5 linked regions of the Xenopus tropicalis genome follow. The main gene of each other region encodes a partner of the protein of the gene in region 3 in a complex. Links are inferred from orthologs where the notes say so. Each region holds a gene or a part of one and is shown on either strand. Other genes may lie near its edges.

The links.
Region 1: polr3g (region 3) and polr3f share a complex: the UniProt entries of both Homo sapiens proteins name them as parts of the RNA polymerase III complex. The link is inferred for Xenopus tropicalis from reciprocal best matches to the Homo sapiens genes POLR3G and POLR3F.
Region 2: polr3g (region 3) and polr3d share a complex: the UniProt entries of both Homo sapiens proteins name them as parts of the RNA polymerase III complex. The link is inferred for Xenopus tropicalis from reciprocal best matches to the Homo sapiens genes POLR3G and POLR3D.
Region 4: polr3g (region 3) and polr3k share a complex: the UniProt entries of both Homo sapiens proteins name them as parts of the RNA polymerase III complex. The link is inferred for Xenopus tropicalis from reciprocal best matches to the Homo sapiens genes POLR3G and POLR3K.
Region 5: polr3g (region 3) and crcp share a complex: the UniProt entries of both Homo sapiens proteins name them as parts of the RNA polymerase III complex. The link is inferred for Xenopus tropicalis from reciprocal best matches to the Homo sapiens genes POLR3G and CRCP.

Annotation. Positions count from the first base shown.
Region 1 is NC_030681.2:38,387,681-38,391,822, reverse strand, and holds the start of polr3f (DNA-directed RNA polymerase III subunit RPC6), read right to left. Parts: upstream 2,807-4,142; 5' UTR 2,645-2,806; coding exon 2,589-2,644; intron 1,062-2,588; coding exon 944-1,061; intron 1-943. UniProt on the Homo sapiens protein: DNA-dependent RNA polymerase catalyzes the transcription of DNA into RNA using the four ribonucleoside triphosphates as substrates.
Region 2 is NC_030679.2:129,697,218-129,700,248, reverse strand, and holds the end of polr3d (DNA-directed RNA polymerase III subunit RPC4), read right to left. Parts: intron 2,803-3,031; coding exon 2,650-2,802; intron 1,165-2,649; coding exon 1,042-1,164; 3' UTR 511-1,041; downstream 1-510. UniProt on the Homo sapiens protein: DNA-dependent RNA polymerase catalyzes the transcription of DNA into RNA using the four ribonucleoside triphosphates as substrates.
Region 3 is NC_030677.2:178,954,526-178,958,600, reverse strand, and holds the start of polr3g (DNA-directed RNA polymerase III subunit RPC7), read left to right. Parts: upstream 1-1,263; 5' UTR 1,264-1,446; intron 1,447-4,075. UniProt on the Homo sapiens protein: DNA-dependent RNA polymerase catalyzes the transcription of DNA into RNA using the four ribonucleoside triphosphates as substrates.
Region 4 is NC_030685.2:40,340,912-40,345,213, forward strand, and holds the start of polr3k (DNA-directed RNA polymerase III subunit RPC10), read left to right. Parts: upstream 1-1,488; 5' UTR 1,489-1,522; coding exon 1,523-1,633; intron 1,634-4,302. Other genes in the region: snrnp25 (U11/U12 small nuclear ribonucleoprotein 25 kDa protein), read right to left, coding at 1,299-1,319. UniProt on the Homo sapiens protein: Core component of RNA polymerase III (Pol III) which synthesizes small non-coding RNAs using the four ribonucleoside triphosphates as substrates. Can mediate Pol I proofreading of the nascent RNA transcript.
Region 5 is NC_030678.2:97,817,160-97,821,401, reverse strand, and holds the start of crcp (DNA-directed RNA polymerase III subunit RPC9), read left to right. Parts: upstream 1-1,438; 5' UTR 1,439-1,500; coding exon 1,501-1,508; intron 1,509-1,532; exon of another isoform or gene 1,533-1,730; intron 1,731-3,983; coding exon 3,984-4,020; intron 4,021-4,242. UniProt on the Homo sapiens protein: DNA-dependent RNA polymerase catalyzes the transcription of DNA into RNA using the four ribonucleoside triphosphates as substrates.

The sequences.
Region 1 (4,142 bases), on a different chromosome or scaffold from region 3:
GAGCTAGAGAATGCTGGGGGGAGCTAGAGAATGCTGGGGGGAGCTAGAGAATGCTGGGGGGAGCTAGAGAATGCTGGGGGGGAGCTGGAGCATGCTGGGGGGGAGCTGGAGCATGCTGGGGGGGAGCTGGAGGATGCTGGTGGGGGGAGCTGGAGGATGCTGGTGGGGGGAGCTGGAGGATGCTGGTGGGGGGAGCTGGAGGATGCTGGTGGGGGGAGCTGGAGGATGCTGGTGGGGGAGCTGGAGGATGCTGGTGGGGGGAGCTGGAGAATGCTGGTGGGGGGAGCTGGAGAATGCTGGTGGGGGGAGCTGGAGAATGCTGGGGGGGGAGCTGGAGAATGCTGGGGGGGGAGCTGGAGAATGCTGGGGTGGGCAGCTGCAGGATGCTGGGGAGTGTATGGGGATGCTGGGGAGTGTATTCCATACTTGATTATCAATAGGTATCAAAAGATATTTGTGCTGTTTCCATACAGGCAACGAGCAATCTTGTTGGTAAAAATTGTTGATAAAAAGAATATCCTAGAACTGCTCTCTGGTATTACATGTTCTGGCCTAAAGTCATTCTACTGAAATGGATTGTAAAAATGTTCAAACTTTTTAATGTTTAACCCTATATGGCATTTGTCACAGTAAAGAAGCCTTTGATTTATCTATTCTGCAGTGTATAACTATTGGGAACATACAGAGGGGCAACATCAAATATTTATGACATGCAAGGGGCTAAATTCAAAATGATAATGCAAGTAATATTAGGCAATAATAAAGTTAAAACGTTGTCACTACTGCCATTATTGTTTTTGTAGTTTTGGTGATTTACTTCTGTATTTCCTAGCTTGCAAAATGAACTGCCCCTCAGTATCTCAATCTAAACAAGGGGCCATATAGCCATAGTTTTAACATACATTATGTAAGACAAAAAGAAAACAAATATAAAAGAACTTACAGTTGCCAGCAGTCGGTTGATGCACATGGCCCTTTGTTTGGCTTCAATGTGAGGCATCTCATTTTGAATAACTTGGTCAGTGATACCATGAGGAAACTGCTGGCACAGCTCAATAACCCTAAATATATAGAAAAAAATACCATTAAAGAACTAGAAAAAGCTTAAGTGTAACTGTGTTAAGTGTTTATGAGACTGTTGACTTTCTCTAACATTTTATTTGTAATAATTTTGGCCCCTGATGTTAGTGGAAGGAATGCACAACACATGCAGAATATTTAGATCATGTCCAGTATGAAAGAACTGCTACCCCTTATGTGAGCCAACAACTGCAAGAAACAAACGGCTGGAACGGAGTATTATGTGACTAAAAATCACACTAACAACAAAGAGGATGTTTAAAGAACCGAAGCCATTGCTGCTTTTTTTTTTTTTGGACAGCTGTAATAACAGCCACCCTCCATTGGTAGACAGATGTTGGATGTTTTTTGGTACTACATGCTGTACTACATACACCAGAGGCAGTCTACAGGTCCGGACTAAGATTCAAAAGAGGAATTTCATGTACAAAGGCCCAAACAGCCCCCCACAGGTGCAATACATAGTGACGTTCTATGGCATCTTGCAGCAGCCACTCTGGCATTGGCCAGAATCCATAGACTGTCAGACCGGGCCTGGCATAAACACACTTGTTTTTTTTTTAATTCGGTGTAACTTTATCATAACCACATATTTTTATTGTCCCTTTTTACTATAAGACAGTCCTTAAAAGTTTCCTTTAAGGGGCAGTATATTTCTTTTTACCATGAGCTAAACAATAAATATAGTTTTTCCAAGTAATGTATGGCTTTTAGTTATTTCTTGCACTAAACAAAGACACTGACAGCTTAAATTTTCTAGTTTCCTGGTTCTGCCAAATCATCATTTGTGGTAAAACAAATCAACAGTATACAGATAAGCACTGGCTGCTCCTAATCACAAAGTCTAACAAAGGCTACATCTTAGGAGAGAGTGGATTTGCTTTATACACAGCTCATTATTCTCATTTAAACAATAGTGGGGAAAAACAAAACACTTTTATTTTAGTGCTTTATAACTACAAAACATTTGATAAATGTTAAAAATATGGATTTTTAAACTAAAATAAAAAAAGATTACATTCTCAACACAAGACTTATTTAGTATGCTGATGTTTAGCAAAAGTGTCTATAGGCATACACTGGCCTCTACAGTTTTAGGTTTCCTGCAGATAAAAACCCCACATCTTTTAGCAAATGTGTTCATGTCTCATCAGTCAGCCACAGTGTAGGTGTAGTCATGTCCTTTAGATAAGGTATAGCTGAGATTGCCATGAAGCTTTTCAAAATACTAGTAGGGTTCTAATGCCTGGTCTGGGACCACAGCTCTGAAGAAAGGCTGGATATAACCTGGGACAGACATTGAGCAAGTCAATGCGTGACAGCAAGTGACACAACTAATAAATAACTTTAGTTTTCTGCTATAACTGTAAGCATATGCTGCCAATATGATTATATTGATCAATGTGTCTTTCTAATGCAAGGGACTTTCATTTAAACCTTATGTAATTGAAAAAAGTAAACCAACATAGCCAAAACGCCAAAGACATACTCCGCTTTGCACCGCTTACCTGTTCTCTATCTCCGCTGCCTCCCCACCTTCTTGCTTCACCTTCGCTTCTGACATGTTTATTTGAGTCCCTATCCTTTGCCCACGTGTCCCCCTTAACGACTGTCGCCCCAACACCCCCAGTTCAGGTAGCACTAGCGCTGCAGCTCGATCAGCAGAAAGTATCGGCAGCCATTTTGCTTTCGGGCAAAAGGGAGCGTTTGGAACGGAACAACTTCCGAGCGGACAATATATTTTCAAATCAAAGGTACTACGTCTTTTAACTAAAGGACTTCGCGATTTACGTTGTCGCTAACCAAACATTTTCACGCTTTACAATTTCCAAATACAGCAAGTCGTCTGTGTAGCATTTGCTGCGGAAATACGTCATGCATAGGAGCATGCGCTTTGAGAGTGTGAAGAAATATGGGCGATGGTTTATTAGCGTCATCTTCGCATCTTTAGTTGCTAGGCAGCCAGACTTGACCAATGAAAAGGGCAGACACCGTCAGGAAGCAGGTTTTTACTACACCGCGTCTCTAGTAACGGGAGGTGGGACAAAGGCTGCGCCGGGGTCCACAGTGGGATATTTTATCAAGGTAAGTCAGGGTGCTATCAATTTAGACTAATGAAGAGTCTGTAGGTTACTGCTCGCCATAGATAGTGCTCTGCAGCTTGCGAACTTATGCTTTTCGAACTCAATGCTATGTGATTCGATGAAGCCCATTAACTTCTAGTTACATGTTTTTCAGTGGCTGAAATATTTTTATATTTTATACGTTTTTATAAAGCGGGACTGGTGTAGCATGTACAGTACATGTATGTAAGCTCATCTCATGCACCAGATTGTCTGGGAGAATTATAGCCTCAGAATCATTTTATGGCTGTTTGACTAATTAAAAGTTTTGCTAAGTACAAATGCTGACAGGACAAATACAATAAATCATTTAATCAATTTCTAATGTATTCATTTGAACTGCAGAAAGTTGGGTACAGTGGCCAACAAATGGTGACAATGTCCCTTAGTGCAATGTTTTTGGTCAAGAGACAGTAGCGTACCTTGAGTGGTCTGGCCCCACCCCCACAAAAAAAATATCTTCGGAGGGGCCCGGCATGCACGCTTAAGCTCAAATGAGAGCCAGCAAAGTGGACATTTAGAAGTGACTATGGATGGCAAACTACACACAGTGGACCTCATGGCCCAGCTTCCGCCCCCCATGGTCATGGGGTCTGCTGTATAGGTAGTTATGCCACTGTCAAGAGTATTTGGCCTTATTGAGTCAACTGCCCATGTACATGTAGGGACCCATAGGGTTAAATGGTCCCTATGGCTTTAAATCCCTACAGGTTCAGTTCCCTTAGTTGCTGGGCAGAAGGGAATGTATCTAAGTGAGTTCATTAACATGTGTGCTATTGGTCAGAAGGTATAGTGACCACATCCTGCCTGACTTTGGTATAGTGTTGGGAGAGGAGTGGCACCTTCCTGTTGTTTGCTTCCACCTTAGGGACAAAGTGGATGTGTGCTGAGAGCCCAGGGCATGGGCCCAGGCCCAGTGAAGTCGGGGAACAGGGCCCC
Region 2 (3,031 bases), on a different chromosome or scaffold from region 3:
CTAGTAGGAATTTCATCTGGAACATGACAGGTAAACAGCTGGCTTCAGGATGTTACACACAGGCTTTTGAGCCTGCGTTCTCCAGTGGTGGATCTTTCATGCATTTCATCACAGGGAATGCAGGGAAAAAATGCAGCTTTTTTTTTTCCAAATGGTGTTGTTGGGATCAAGTACAAGGCACTGTTTTATTATTACAGAGAAAAATGAAATCATTTTCAAAAATTAGAATTATTTGCTTATAATGGAGCCTATGGGAGACGGCCTTTCCGTAATTCTGAACTTTCTGGATAACGCGTTTCCAGATAATGGATCCCATACCTGTATACCTTATCTAATATGGCTTGTGCCCTGTAGTAATTTAGTACCAGTTAATAGCAGTGGCATGTATTCATAGACAAAAATTTATGACTGATAAGTAATGAAGTTTCCATTCATCCAGGTCATGATACTTTCTGCCCATTTCCTTCAGACTTAATTCTACTATATATAGGCATACATTTCATAAACTAATAGTGTTAACATAAAGTCTTATTTATTCCATCTTTGAAAGAAACAATATATACATATATTTAATTTAAATACATTTTCTTCAAAAGAAACAGACATTATATTATTCAATTGAAGCTTTCCAAACGTATGTCCATTGTTTATTTTTTCCCTACATACTCTTCCAGGTCCTCAAGGAAAAGATGCATTGCCAAGGCCTTGGAATCCCTATTTATACATCTTCGCACATTTAGTTTTGTGTATGCTGGCATGAGTTTGTGGCTGTAAATTCCACACTTTGGGCTGCCATGTTGCAGAGGGCTTGCCTGCAGGCTCTACCTTTCACTCCATACATCCTGCTGCAGAAAATGATCTTTAAGAATTCTACTGGGTCTAAAAGCAGTGATGTCACAGGACCAGAGAAGGCATTGCAACCACCATCTGATCATTCTGGAGCACAACCACTCAGAATGTCGTCTACTGAACATGAGTGTTGTTTAACAATCAGAGCAGACAATGTGACAGGCTATCGTATTAGAAAGGAAAGGGAAGTGTTTAGCCCTGTCTTTTTTCCAGCAGAGACTCAAAATCTGGGGAGCACACAAGTTTGTGTTGAATATGGCCCAGGACCATCATCTCCCCACCACGAGATTCACCAACACTGACTGACACCAGCTCCTAAAAAAGAGAAAAGTAGGGATCACAAATATTAGAATTAAACGTGAAACATACAAACATTTATACGCACCGTCTAGCCATCCTGAGGAAAAATTACCTTTCAACCTTACACAGGTTCATTTTTACGATATCCAACCAGTGCAAATCAGTTGCATATTGGGTAATTTGGCAACACAAACAGATGCTGACATTGCATTAAAGGATAAGTCAACCGTAATCTAAAACTTACAGTTCCTGTAGCCGTACAGTCAAAAACAATAAAAGAGATATACCTTCAGAAGTAAAATAGAGAATTATAAAAGTGTTCTGATGTTCCTCTCCCCAGGAAGACAATCAGAAGCCTTAGATGTCCTTTATCATTTACTTCCTGAGCAGAGCAACATCAGAACACTCCTTTTTCCTCAGAAGGTATATCTCTGTGACTATACAGTTACTAGAACGGACCAGCAGGTGGTGCTGTTACAAAATTCATTGCACTGGTGGATAATGAACACCTAAATAGCTTTGACTGAAAAAACAATGTAAATTGCTTACATGCAGTGCTTACATTTTTGTTTTTACATTTTTTTTTTAAGTTTACTTATCCTTTAAGCCAAGCCAATCACTTAAAGGGATTCGGTCGTTATTTTTATGGTATACTTTATATTTCTAAATTACACTGTTCACATAGCAAATATTTCACTCTGCCATTTGAAATGTTATTCTTGAACCAAAAATTTTTTTTAGCTGTAATATTAGTGTGCAGGCACCATCTGCATTGTGCCCGAGTCTGAGCTTTTACAAGGAGGCAGCGCTACATATTAGAACTGCTTTCAGGTAACCTATTGTTTCTCCTGCTCCCATGTAACTGGAGGAGTCCCAAGCCGGACTTGGATTTCTTACTATTGAGTGCTATTCTGATATCTCATGGGAGCTGCTATTTTGCTTCCTTCCCATTGTTCTGCTGATCGGCTGCTGTGTGGGAAAGGGGGAGGGGGGGCTATAACTCCAACTTGCAGAGCAACAGTAAAGTGTGACTGAAGTTTATCAGAGAACAAGTCACATGGCTGTAGCACCCTGGGAAATGTAGAATATGGGTAGCGCCATATGAAATTAAATATAAAAAAAAAATCTGTTTGCGTTTTTACAAAATGGATTTAATGCAGGATTCTGCAGGAAAAAGTTCTATTAAACTGGTGCATTTTGAAAAAACATGTTTTCCAAATACAGTATTCCTTTAAATTACTATGTTGAAGTGTGTCCAGTTTGCTGTGGTTTTCTGCAAATTATGGCTCTGTACTGTGCCTCCCTTCTATCTAGCAGCTAGAAAGAGGATCAGATTGACTGTGTGTCTACCTTATTACTGCTACAATTTATGCGGTTATCAGTTTGGCAAGCTGGTGAACAAAAGGCAAAATCGAAAACCACAAATAGTAGGTTCAACTGTTTACAAGTACCATGTTGTACAAATCCTTTGAAAAACTATCCCTATAAAAGTCTACTCACCTGCAAGAATGAACAGGATGTGCCCATAGTAACATCCAGCATGACTTTGCCCAGCTTAAGCTGAACCTTGCCAGACTTGCGTACAAATAGCTTCCCAATATGGCCTTCTGACACATCCCGCAAGGTACAGCTGTCTTCTGCAGCCTTCGAGTCCTACAAGTAATTGAGAGGCAAGATTTAGAACTACTACCCGCTAACACCAGTGCATAAAAAAAGAATGTTTTGTTAACTGGAGTCCCCAGTGCAGACCTGAAAGTTTAGTGTTTGAACTGATGGAAGCAGAGGTGTGTCACTACAAGTTAAACATAAAGTACCTGTGCTGTGGAATATCGTGGTGCTATATAATGCATAATAATAGCCGAGATCAGGGGCGGGCCGAGCC
Region 3 (4,075 bases):
CTATACCTGCTATCCTACAGTCACAGTCCCTTCCCAGAGGCTATTATCCCCCCACTGCTACTATAGGCACCATCTCTCCCTACTATACCTGCTATCCTACAGGCACAGTCCCTTCCCAGAGGCTATTATCCCCCCACTGCTACTATAGGCACCATCTCTCCCTACTATACCTGCTATCCCACAGCCACAGTCCCTTCCCAGAGGCTATTATCCCCCTGCTACTATAGGCACCATCTCTCCCTACTATACCTGCTATCCCACAGCCACAGTCCCTTCCCAGAGGCTATTATCCCCCCACTGCTACTATAGGCACCATCTCTCCCTACTATACCTGCTATCCCACAGCCACAGTCCCTTCCCAAAGGGTATTATCCCCCACTGCTACTATAGGCACCATCTCTCCCTACTATACCTGCTATCCCACAGCCACAGTCCCTTCCCAGAGGCTATTATCCCCCCACTGCTACTATAGGCACCATCTCTCCCTACTATACCTGCTATCCCACAGCCACAGTCCCTTCCCAGAGGCTATTATCCCCCACTGCTACTATAGGCACCATCTCTCCCTACTATACCTGCTATCCCACCGCCACAATCCCTTCCCAGAGGCTATTATCCCCCCACTGCTACTATAGGTACCATCTCCCCCTACTATACCTGCTATCCCACAGCCACAGTCCCTTCCCAGAGGCTATTATCCCCCCACTGCTACTATAGGTACCATCTCCCCCTACTATACCTGCTATCCCACAGCCACAGTCCCTTCCCTACCTACTATATTCAATATATCACAGACTCTTCCCAGAGGCTACTATTTACACTACTTTGCAAAAGCTGAACATGCCCTTTGACAGCATTTTGACGAAGACAACTATGTCAAATTTAGAAAGATTAGTAGTTAAACTGGCAAAAAGTAATTTACTCCAACTTTTTAAAAGAAAATAAAAACAGTGTGGCATAAAAAGAAAAACATTTGATATTTAGACAAATGCCAAATTTATCTTCTCTGAACAGACATATTGTATAATATTTATTTTCTGGGCTCCAGCAGTTGCACCTCACTGATGGTGGCTGTGTAATGCATGATTAGAGCTAACTGCTGATAGTTGCCAGTACATTAGTTTTGTGTTCCCCTTTAAGAACACATAATGATCAATGTACAGCGCCTTTCCACTGAAAGGGCTGTGCTTCATGTTGTGTTTAGTAAGCCTGAACACTAACAAAGGGAAGCTCTACCCTATATAGTTTTACTGCTGAGCAGAACCTAATTAGTTTAGAATCAGTTACACTGCCTGATGCTCGTTAGGACTTGCTGACAAGCACTGCCCCCACTGGCTTATCCCTACTGCACCAGGATTTACTTGTGAATGTCATTGTAACGCAGATTTGGTGAATCAGCCGAGTTCTATGTTTGATTCATCAGCGAGAAATTATATCAGACTGAAGGTAAAATGATTCGCTTAAGTATATGAATTTAATATCATGTCTATAATTCTATTAATCTATGAAAACACCCAAATGTAAGATGTGTTAAAGCACAGATATAAGCACATTTTAGGCCATTATAAAATCAGTTACAGTTGGATCAATGATATTTAGCAGCATTGGCACAGATTGGCATATTGGGGCTTGCATTTATTGACTTCTACTGAAGCTGAATGTTGAAATGTTTTTGAATGTATTATTTAATAATGAGTTAAGCTTGTTTGCCTAAAGTGGGCCTATGAAAATAAATGCCTTTTAATATTTTATTGTTCAACTTGGGGTCCTTCAGCTGCTGGAAGCTGCAACTCTTAGTGCTCTTAGCTGGGTGTGGTTGGGGCATGACAGGGAATGCTTTAGGGCAGGACATAGAGAGCTTCTAGTCCTCATCATGTCCTTTGTAGAAGTACAAATAACAATCATTAAAAATGTATATTCTTATATACATTCTTAGTTTTTACATTTACAGTGTTGCCTGTGGCCCTTCTAGTTTTGTTCAACTAGAACATTCAATGTCAGCTGATGACTTTCAGGTGATTATAGCAGCTGTACCTGGGGGCCTATTTAGTGTGCTGAGTAAAATGGCAAATGTCACCATCTGAAAGCCAGACTTTATGCCATTATTCTATGCAAGCTACGTAATTACATTGTTTTTTACACAGCGAAGCCTCGCAATGAATGACGAATTTTGCTGCCATTTTTGCACAGCATAATAAGTAGGCATCTTAGTGTGCTGTAATTGGTGCAAACCCCAGCAGGTGTAATTCATTGCTATCAATTATTTTAATGAGAATGTTGTAAGAATACACCTGAGCTTCACTAAAAAAAGTATATAATTTTAAAGGGAAAGCTATGTTGATGAACAAAAGCTGGAGGGCTGCAATTTGGGCATACCTAATTTTTATAGGGTCATAGCGCCTTAACACAGTGAGGTGAAACATCTCAAAAAAAATGGTACGGCCGACCCATCAAATCAAATGGTACGGTCTGACCCCCCCTCAAATCAAATGGTACGGTCCGCCCCCTCCAAAAAATGGTACGGTCCAACCCCCCCCTCGAAACAAATGGTACGGTCCAACCCCCCTCCAAAAAATGGTACGGTCTGATCCCCCCTTCAAAAAAATAGCATGGTACGGCCTGATCCCCCGTCGGAAAAAAGTGGTACGGTCCGACACCCTCTCCAAAAAAATGGTACGGTCCGATCTCCCCCCCAAAAAAATGGTACGGTCCGACCCCCCCCTTCAAATAAAATGGTGCGGGCTGACCCCCCTCCAAAAAAATGGTACGGTCCAACCAAAATTTTTTGGAATGGGGGTCGGACTGTACCATTTTTTGGAGGGGGGCGGGGTTGGACGTACCATTTTTTTGAGAGGGAGGGATGGACCGTGACATTTTTGGAGGGGGGGTCGGACCATACCAATTTTAAGAGCGGGGGAGGTCGGACCGTACCATTTTATTTTGGAGGGGTAGGACCGTACCATTTTTTAGAGGGGATGGGGACGGACCGTACCATTTTCAAGAGCGGGGGGGTCGGACCGTACCATTTTTTAGAGCGGGGAGTCGGGCCATACCATTTTTAGAGGGGGAGGGGACCGTACCAATTTTTTTCGAGTGGGGGGGGATGGACGTACCAGTCGGACCGTACCATTTTTAAGAGCGGGGGTCGGACCGCACCAATTTTTATGGGGGGATAGGACCGTACCATTTTATTTTGGGTGGGGGGGGGAGTCGGACCGTACCATTTTTTGAGTGGGGGGGATGGACCGTACCATTTTTAAGAGCGGGGGGGGTTTCGGTCCGTACCATTTTTTTCGAGTGGGGGGATGAACGTACCATTTTTAAGAGTGGGGGGTCGGACCGTACCATTTTTAAGAGTGGGGGGGGGGGTTCGGACTGTACCATTTTTTGAGTGGGAGGGGGGTCGGACCGTACCATTTTTAAGAGCGGGGGGGTGATGGACCGTACCATTTTTAAGAGCGGGGGGGGTCGGACCGTACCATGTTTAAGAGCGGGGGGGTTCGGACTGTACCATTTTTTGAGTGGGGGGGGGGATGGACCGTACCATTTTTAAGAGCGGGGGGGTCGGACCGTACCATTTTTAAGAGCGGGGGGGGGGGTTCGGACTGTACCATTTTTAAGAGCGGGGGGGTCGGACCGTACCATTTTTTGAGGGGGGGGGTGGACCGTACCATTTTTAAAAGCGGGGGGGGGGGGGTCGGACCGTACCATTTTTTGAGTGGGGGGGGGGATGGACCGTACCATTTTTGAGTGGGGGGGGGATGGACCGTACCATTTTTAAGAGCGGGGGGGGGTTCGGACCGTACCATTTTTTGAGTGGGGGGGGATGACCGTACCATTTTTAAGAGCGGGGGGGGGTTCGGACCGTACCATTTTTTGAGTGAGGGGGATGGACCGTACCATTTTTAAGAGCGGGGGTGGTTCGGACTGTACCATTTTTGAGTGGGGGGGGGTGGACCGTACCATTTTTAAGAGCGGGGGGGTCGGACCGTACCATTTTTAAGAGCGGGGGGGTTCGGACTGTACCATTTTTAAGAGCGGGGGGGGTCGGACCGTACCATTTTTGGAGGGGGGG
Region 4 (4,302 bases), on a different chromosome or scaffold from region 3:
ATAATCGAATATGTTCTGATGCTACTGAAAGGGACCACCACCTAAGAACACTCATGGCAGATTTCATTAACAGGGGCTACAACCCAAGGATTGTGGATCAATATATCCATACAGCCACCAGGATTCCCAGAAGTCAACTTCTACAATACAAACAAAAAACAGAAATAAATTGAATTCCTCTAGTTGTCACATACGATCCCCAACAAAAGACCCTCAGAAAAATAGCCAAGGATCTACAGTGTACACCTCAAAAGGATGAGAGGCTCCAAAACATATTCCCAGACCCACCACTTCTGGCATTCAGGCAGCCCCCAAACCTAAAACAACTAATAACAAGAAGTGCCTTAATTCAACCCAACAAAAAAGGAACTTATCCCTGTGGCAAAAAAACAATGCAAAACCTGCCCACACATCTGTAATTCAGATTTCAGACACATTAGAGGAATACAACATCCATGGTCAGTACAACTGTTCTTCTTCCAATATGGTGTACTTAATACAGTGCACTAGATACTGAACAGGAGGACTGTATATAGGAGAGACTGGTCAAAGCCTGAGAAAAAGAAATACACACCACCGTTTTACTATAAGAACGCGATTTCTGATGGTGGCCCTGGTTCTATCAATTAGATGCTCTGCTGTACAGTGCTTCGTACATAAGTACTGTAATGCTTATACCATGTGGGGTTGATTCTCAGCACATGAAAAACCACAGGCCAAGAATCAGTTCCTTGGGCATCAGCCTCCTACTTTTCCAGGTCAAACCACTGCGTTGGCCCAGGTGCAAGCATACAATATGAATATCCACTCTAAAATGCTAAATTTACAGTTTCTTTGCTGATATCTGCCATGTGTGCCTGCACCCAGGCCAGCCCAATAGTTTCTGGTGCAGGCAAGGTAGGAGGCTGTCAGCGGAGGGACTGATTATCTGCATGCGGGTTTCCATGCGGCATCAGCCGTATATAAATAAGAATATAAATAGTTTATATAAACAAGCTTCTATGCAGCCATGGAGGAAGCACTTCAAGATAAAAAAAGGAGAAAGGCACAGGATACACAGCAGATACCAGATTAACACGAATATACCACCACTGCATTTTATTACAGAGCATATATGTTATATGATATCCAAACCTGTGCCTTTTCTCCTTTTCAACTTAAATGGCTGCAAGACTTCTAGTTCTGCTTTTGCTTTGCAAAAATTGCTCTTCTCGTGTTATCAGTTTTTGGGAGCTGGACTTAAATGTAGAAATTTAGAATTTCGAGTTAAGTTTTTCAACGCAATTTCCACTACCCACCTTTAGTTCACACCGTTTCATTCAAGTTACAAATGGAACTGTCGCAGATTTCTAGGGCGCCCATTAAAGACGTCATCACCGGGCGGAAACGTGCGCAATAAGATGTAATGTAGGTGAATGCGAGGCTAGGGCAAACGCGTGGTGATCATTCTGCTTAGGCAGCGGTACTGGCGTCTGGAGGATGAAGTGGTTGATGCGAAGTTTGAGCTAATCTGTTAGCAGCAATGTTGCTATTTTGCCCGACGTGTGGGAATGTGCTGATCGTGGAGGAGGGACAGAAGTGCTACAGGTTTGCCTGTAATACCTGCCCTTATGTGCACAACGTTAATCGCAAGGTATAATGAGGTCTTCTGAAGTGATAGAAATATGGTTTTAAGCGGCGTAAGTGTAGTCCTGGTGGCTACGAAGCCTTTTTATGCCTTGTGTATGCCAAGCATTGCTAATTGGCAGATAACATTACATTAGCAACAGTACAATGCGCTGATTTTTAAGTGCGGGATGAATCTGTATAAATTGCTAACAACATATTCTGGTAATGGCTGGGGCTTTTAGCTCTAAATTGTGTAAGTTTAATAGACTTACAAAGTTAAAAAGGTGATCTTATCATTTATGTTTTATGATAAATACTAAATAAAATGCATAGTAAATAGATACACCTGCTACCCCCACCCCCCAAAATGAACATTTGAATATACGCATATGACCTGTGATTTTTTTTTTTGTCTGATTTTTGCTAGTTTGTGGCCAAGGTCTTGCTTTTCTTCCTTTTTGGCTATTACCCTTCTGGGAACAAATCATCATAGAAGGGCACACTTTTAACCCTAAATTCACAATACCCAGAACACCACAGCACAATCACTTCCCCTGTGGAAGTGCATTACCTTGCTAAAGCACACTAATATCATAAATATATATTATAAAATGTGTCCTAACACTTTCATAAATAATATCTAAATAAATACATTTGAATATATATTAATACATAGGGAGTTCTGACCGCTAGATACTTATTTGACAAACTTTAAGGGGAAATACTGTAACCCTATCTTCACCACTTCTGGCACCTTTGACAGTGTTACACTCCACGAGTGGCGCTTACCTGATGGCACGGGACAAACCTGAATCACTCCGCAGTGGTATTGGGAGAGACTGGGTACCTGGTACTTATTAGCGCAGTGCCTCCACCTAGTGGGATCCTGGAGTGCACCTACGGGTGGCCCCACTAGGAACAATAATAATGCACACACAGTACTTGATAAACGAAATAACTTTTATCTGAAATAAAGGGGAAACTAATACAGATAACACTCCTATCCAAGTGGCAATAAGGGCCTTACTAACTAGCTTTGCCAGCGCAAGCTGTCTCACTAACTATGTACAGTCCTTTAGCTCAGTCCCAAAAGAAACAGTTTATATAGTTTAAATCTTCAAGCGCTCCTTTATTACTTTCACTTTAATGATACTCACTCCAGGAATCTCTTTGGGTGATTCACACAGAATCTTCAGGCGAGTCCAGCACTCACAGCCATGCAGTGCGACTACTAGCCCCTTTAGCTACTCAGATGGGATTCCCCTGCAGGTGTTTGTTCCTCCAGTCAGGACTCCTCACAGGATCTCTGTCTCTCCAGGTACAGGGTCTGCCTTCCCTGTACCAGCCTGTTCCAAAGGCCAGCTTCTTCTTGTGCTGCTCCTCTCTCTGAGCCCACGTGCAGCTTCTGGAGTTCTGGGGCTTTTTCTCTCCTCCCACTGACTTCCTCTCCCAGGCTGCTTTGCAACTTCCGGCAGCCCTGAGCTTGCTGTTCACCTTGTTGCTAGGCAGCAGCTCACAGCACAAAGTCTCAGTGCCAGCTCCCCTACAGGGAACAGCAGCAGGAGGGGGGTAAGTGCAGGGACCCAGCACTACCTCCCTACATTCTCCCCCTGCTTGAATGGGCAACGTCCTCGCTTGCCCTTTCTCACCATTCTTATTCTCCCTAACCTTTGGGGGAGATACACAGGGGAAAGCTTCCTCACTAACTGCCCTGACACTTCCCCTGCCTGAAGGTCTACGCATTCCCAGGCCCAGTCTCTTACTTTTATTGGGGGTGCCAGAGTGCTCAGAGACCATCCTCGTGCCACAGGATTTCTCTTCACAAATATTCACTTCACATGGGAAAGATGTCACATATACATCAGTGAAGTCTTCATTCCGTCCCCAGTCACAGGTGTGGGAAGTATGACCGTACCAACCACAGGTGTAACACCTCACCTGATTACGTCTCTTCCGATACCTCTTTTGGGGTGGCTTCCTCACAGCACAGCCATATGAAATAACTTCTGTAGCTGCAGCATTTTCACGTTGCGTCGGACAGTGTGGGGATATATGGCCCAACCGGCCACAACGGAAGCACTTTGGTGGGTCACCGCGAGCACCACCTGCTTTAGGAAATGAAGAGGGTCTAGACATAGTTGACCCCTCTTCCTTTTCGGACACACGAGCCTTGAGCTGAGCAACCTGTTTTTTTAACTCGGCAATCTCTTCCGCTTTCTGCGAATCACTGGATGTCCTTTCAGAACCACGTCTTTTCTTCTCTCGTCGCAGAACATTAACTTCCTCCTTTCGGATCTCACGGATCAGCTCCTGATAAGTTGGTTCTTTCTTTCCTCTGTAGAAAGATCTCAACATCACAGCTGTGGGGTCCATAGATAAAGCCCCTCTGAATAACTGTTGTAGCCTCATAGAATCAACACGATCTGTAGCAATGATTCTTCGGCAAACAAGTAATTTTAGCATTTGCTGCAGTCGCTTCAAGTACTCAGACAGATTCTCTTTTTCTTTCTGCATGCAAGACTGAAATTTGTACAACATTTCAATTTCATCTTCCACCGGTCCATATGTATCTTCCAGTACGTCTATCAACTTCTCAGGACCATCTTGTGGGCACACCTCTCGTTGGAGCTTAATTAGGTCCAATGCAGGCCCTCGCAAACTCTCCTGGATCTTGCGACATAAAGCAGGGCCAGA
Region 5 (4,242 bases), on a different chromosome or scaffold from region 3:
TGCTAACGAAGCCCTTTCAAAGGGCCGCCTTCCCGTCGCGCCGTAACCAAAGCACCCTTCTCCAGCGCAACACCAGGCAAGCGAGCCAACATCTGCCTTTTAACCAAGCACATCAGTCTCCTGAGAGACTGTCAAAAATTGCCAGTGCTGACTATATTTCAAGTCATCACGGCGGGGTATTGGGAAAAGTTTTCAATTAGCAATAATCACGCCTCAGTTTGACCTCATTGGCTATGATACTGCCACTGCGCAAAGCTGATTGGGCCCCTGCCTAAGTTAAGGGGCCCCTTGTGGGACGGGCTTCTTTCAAGTGTGGCTACGGCTGCCCAGCCGATGCAATGGATTGTGGGAATCCATATGCTAACAAAGCCCTTTCCAAGGGCCGCCTTCCCGTCGCGCCGTAACCAAAGCACCCTTCTCCAGCGCAACACCAGGCAAGCGAGCCAACATCTGCCTTTTAACCAAGCACATCAGTCTCCTGAGAGACTGTCAAAAATTGCCAGTGCTGACTATATTTCAAGTCATCACGGCGGGGTATTGGGAAAAGTTTTCAATTAGCAATAATCACGCCTCGGTTTGACCTCATTGGCTATAATACTGCCACTGCGCAAAGCTGATTGGGCCCCTGCCTAAGTTAAGGGGCCCCTTGTGGGACGGGCTTCTTTCAAGTGTGGCTACGGCTGCCCAGCCGATGCAATGGATTGTGGGAATCCATATGCTAACGAAGCCCTTTCAAAGGGCCGCCTTCCCGTCGCGCCGTAACCAAAGCACCCTTCTCCAGCGCAACACCAGGCAAGCGAGCCAACATCTGCCTTTTAACCAAGCACATCAGTCTCCTGAGAGACTGTCAGAAATTGCCAGTGCTGACTATATTTCAAGTCATCACGGCGGGGTATTGGGAAAAGTTTTCAATTAGCAATAATGTGAGGTGCGGCTGAGGGGGTTGAAATCACCAAAGCTTGTAGCTTAGCAGTAAAATGTGGATGAAGTTTACCAGAGTGCACGTTACATGGCTGTGGCACCCTGGGAAATTAAGAATATTCCTAGCCCTGTATGAAATTAAAAAAATAAATGTGTTTTTGAAAAATGGATTTTAATGCAGGATTCTGTTAGAGAAACTATTGTTATTATTAATTGGTTTGGAAAAAAAATGTTATTGTTCTTTCAGAAATCACACTGGGTACAAAAAGAAGTAGGAAAAGTGGTTGAAGAACTACACCATTACTATCTATATTCAGCCTGGTGAGGTTTCATTCTACTGGGAGACTGCCTTAGTTTGGGACGTTCAAAGCACTCAGGGACGCATCATACACTTGAATACAAATAACGCTTGCAAAAACGAAGTTGAATCCTACACGTGTTTCAGGAGGGTGAACTCTTCCACTTCCTGTTTCAGCGGTTCCGCAGCCTCCGTTTGGTTCCTGAAAGGGTCACGTGGCGTGACATCATCAGCTGCTCGACTTTTCGCTCGGCTTTTAATTGACCAACGTGAAAAACAGCATGGAAGTGTAAGAAATGTTATTTATAAATGTGTCTGTTTTAAAACGCTTCGAAATATTTAAGAGTTTTCTGCCATTTGCTTTCGAGCTGCTAATGAACGTGTGCGAGTGAAAGCTGGGTAGGCAGCAGCATGGTGTTACCTGAGAAATCATTCCAAAACTTCCGGATTGTATACGTGCTTAGCTGTATGTGGTTTCGATGTGTGTTTTTATGTGTTTTGCTGATTGACAGTAAGTACTTTACAATTACATATATAGTGGAACAGAGTAAAGGTTTATATCAGGTGATATTTACAGGGGGCTTATAAGCATTTTCTTTTAAAGAAACGCTTACCTTTGCACAAACTACCGTCTATGTAAAGATTGCACATTTCTAAACATATCTCTAACATAACCTCCAATATTAACAAAAATGCAAGCTAACCCCTGCATGCAGAGAGGGTTGCCGACCCCTGCATGCTTCTGGCTGATGCCGCCTACATAATCTTATGGGGGCAGTGCCAGGTTTGTGCAATGTCAGATTATTGTTGTTTTCATGGAAGTGTGCAGTCATGTGATTCTTTTTCTCTGGGGAATTGAAGCCCTACCTCTCCCTTTGCTTTCTGAGCACCCAAACTGAGAGAAGAGAACACAATAAGAAAAGTACTAATTAATAACATGCAGTATGTTGTTGAAGGCAAGATAGTAGACAAAGCTGACCTTATACTTTATTCAATTGGGTTTTTGTGTATTGGGTGAACCTTCCCTTTATTCATGCTTTTGATGTGCGTATGAGACACAGCTTAGAGCAGGGGTCCCCCACCTTTCTTACTTGTGAGCCACAGTCAAATGTAAAAAGACTTGGAGAGCAACACAAGCACCATAAAAGTTCATGGAGGTGCCAAATAAGGGTGAAGATTGGCTATTTGGCAGCCTCTATGCGCCCTATCAGCTTACAGGGGGCTTTATTTGGTAGGAAATCTTGTTTTTATTGAATCAAAACTTGCCCCCAAGTCAGGAATTCAAAAATAACTACCTGGTTTGGGGGCACTGAGAGCAACATCCAAGGGGTTGGTGAGCAACATGTTGCCCCCGAGCCACTGTTTGGGGATCACTGGCTTAGAGAGTGTACCTAGGTTGTGACTTAATTGGTTCCACATTATTCTGTCTGGTTGTAACAACAAGCCTTCATATCTGCGTTTAAGTAGTGCCACATTTGACTGCATTTTTCCAGACAGCATTCAGCATTTTTATGCACTTACATGCATAACATATGTGTTCTGATGTATTCAGCAAGCATTTAAAGGAGAAGGATAGTTATTTTGGCATTTTACTGCCAATATATTTGTCACATTAGGGCCACCTAGAACACTATATTTATTCTGCAGAAAGATTTACTTGAGTAAAGAGCCCTAAAATCTCCATGCGATTGTTTAAGATTGCAGCTACCATTTTAGCTTGGTCTTCCTAGTTTCCTGCTGCAGTTCTAGAGGCTGGTAGCTTAATCTAGGAAGACCAAGATAAAATGGTAGCTGCAATCTTAAACAATCGCAGGGAGATTCTAGGGCTCTTTACTCAAGTATAGTAAAGCTTTCTGCAGAATAAATATAGTGTTCTAGGACTAGGAGAGTTAGTCAGATACCCAAGAACATGTTTACAAAAACGGTGACAAGAAATCATGTGTTTTTTTGATAGAGGACTCGGTGCAGCTTTTCTGTAAGTGCTTATGGCCGTATTTACATACTTTTCTGATAAAGCTTACTTAGTTTTTACCTTTTCTTCTCCTTTAAATAGATGCACTTTCAGACACCTGATTTTGAGAGACCTTCAGAGTAGATCAAATAAGCAGAAGCTGACAAAGTGTCTTTTGTGGGCATTTTATTAAGCATTCAACTTGACTTCGAGTGTGATGTAGTTAGCAGTATTCTAAGACAGTTTGCATTTTGTCTTTTTATGTTTTTTTATTATTTTACTTTTTTATTCTGCAGGTCTCAGATTTGGAATTTTAACTACTATTTTGTTGCTATAATTCAATAACCCTACCAGCCAAGCAGCAGTTAGGAAGTCAGACTGGCATGTAAATAGAAGAGGGCCTTATTAGAAAATTAAGGACAAATGATGTGCCAAAAAAATCTTACCTATGGTAACTATGTAATAGCGTTAACTTTGGGTCTAGTAACTCACAGCAACCAACCTAAGGAAACTGTATCCCAAAGGTCTTTCTGTGGCTAGTGCTATCGTCTGGTTAAACTCTGATCTCAGCAATTATTTGCTTGAGGTCCATTTATTGGTTAGTTAAATTCAGTGCTCACAGAGTTGAATGAAAATGGACCTATGAATCACAAACAAGCTCAATACCTTTCTGTTGCTAAATAAGAGTTTTATAGGCATTTGTTGGCCTTGTACAAATGATCCAGCCATAATGATTGATTAAACAAATGACATATAGAATTGTTTATTTGTTTTGCCTTATGGTGAATTACTTTTCCTTCCCTTTTTTTTTAGAAAAGATGCAAATGCAGCGCTCCTGAGCAATTATGAGGTTGGTAAAACGGAATATTTAAACATGTTTGTGGTAGATTATGTGTATTCATTATTATCACATTGTAATTGCAGTGCTTGTGGGGAAATGTAATAAAAGCTATAAATGGCTTAAAATGCACAATTAAGAACAAACATTTGCATGTGCTATGTAAAATTATTCAGTAGACAGTTATATAGTGATCTATTGTGTACTGTTATACTGTTATATGTGTAATATGCT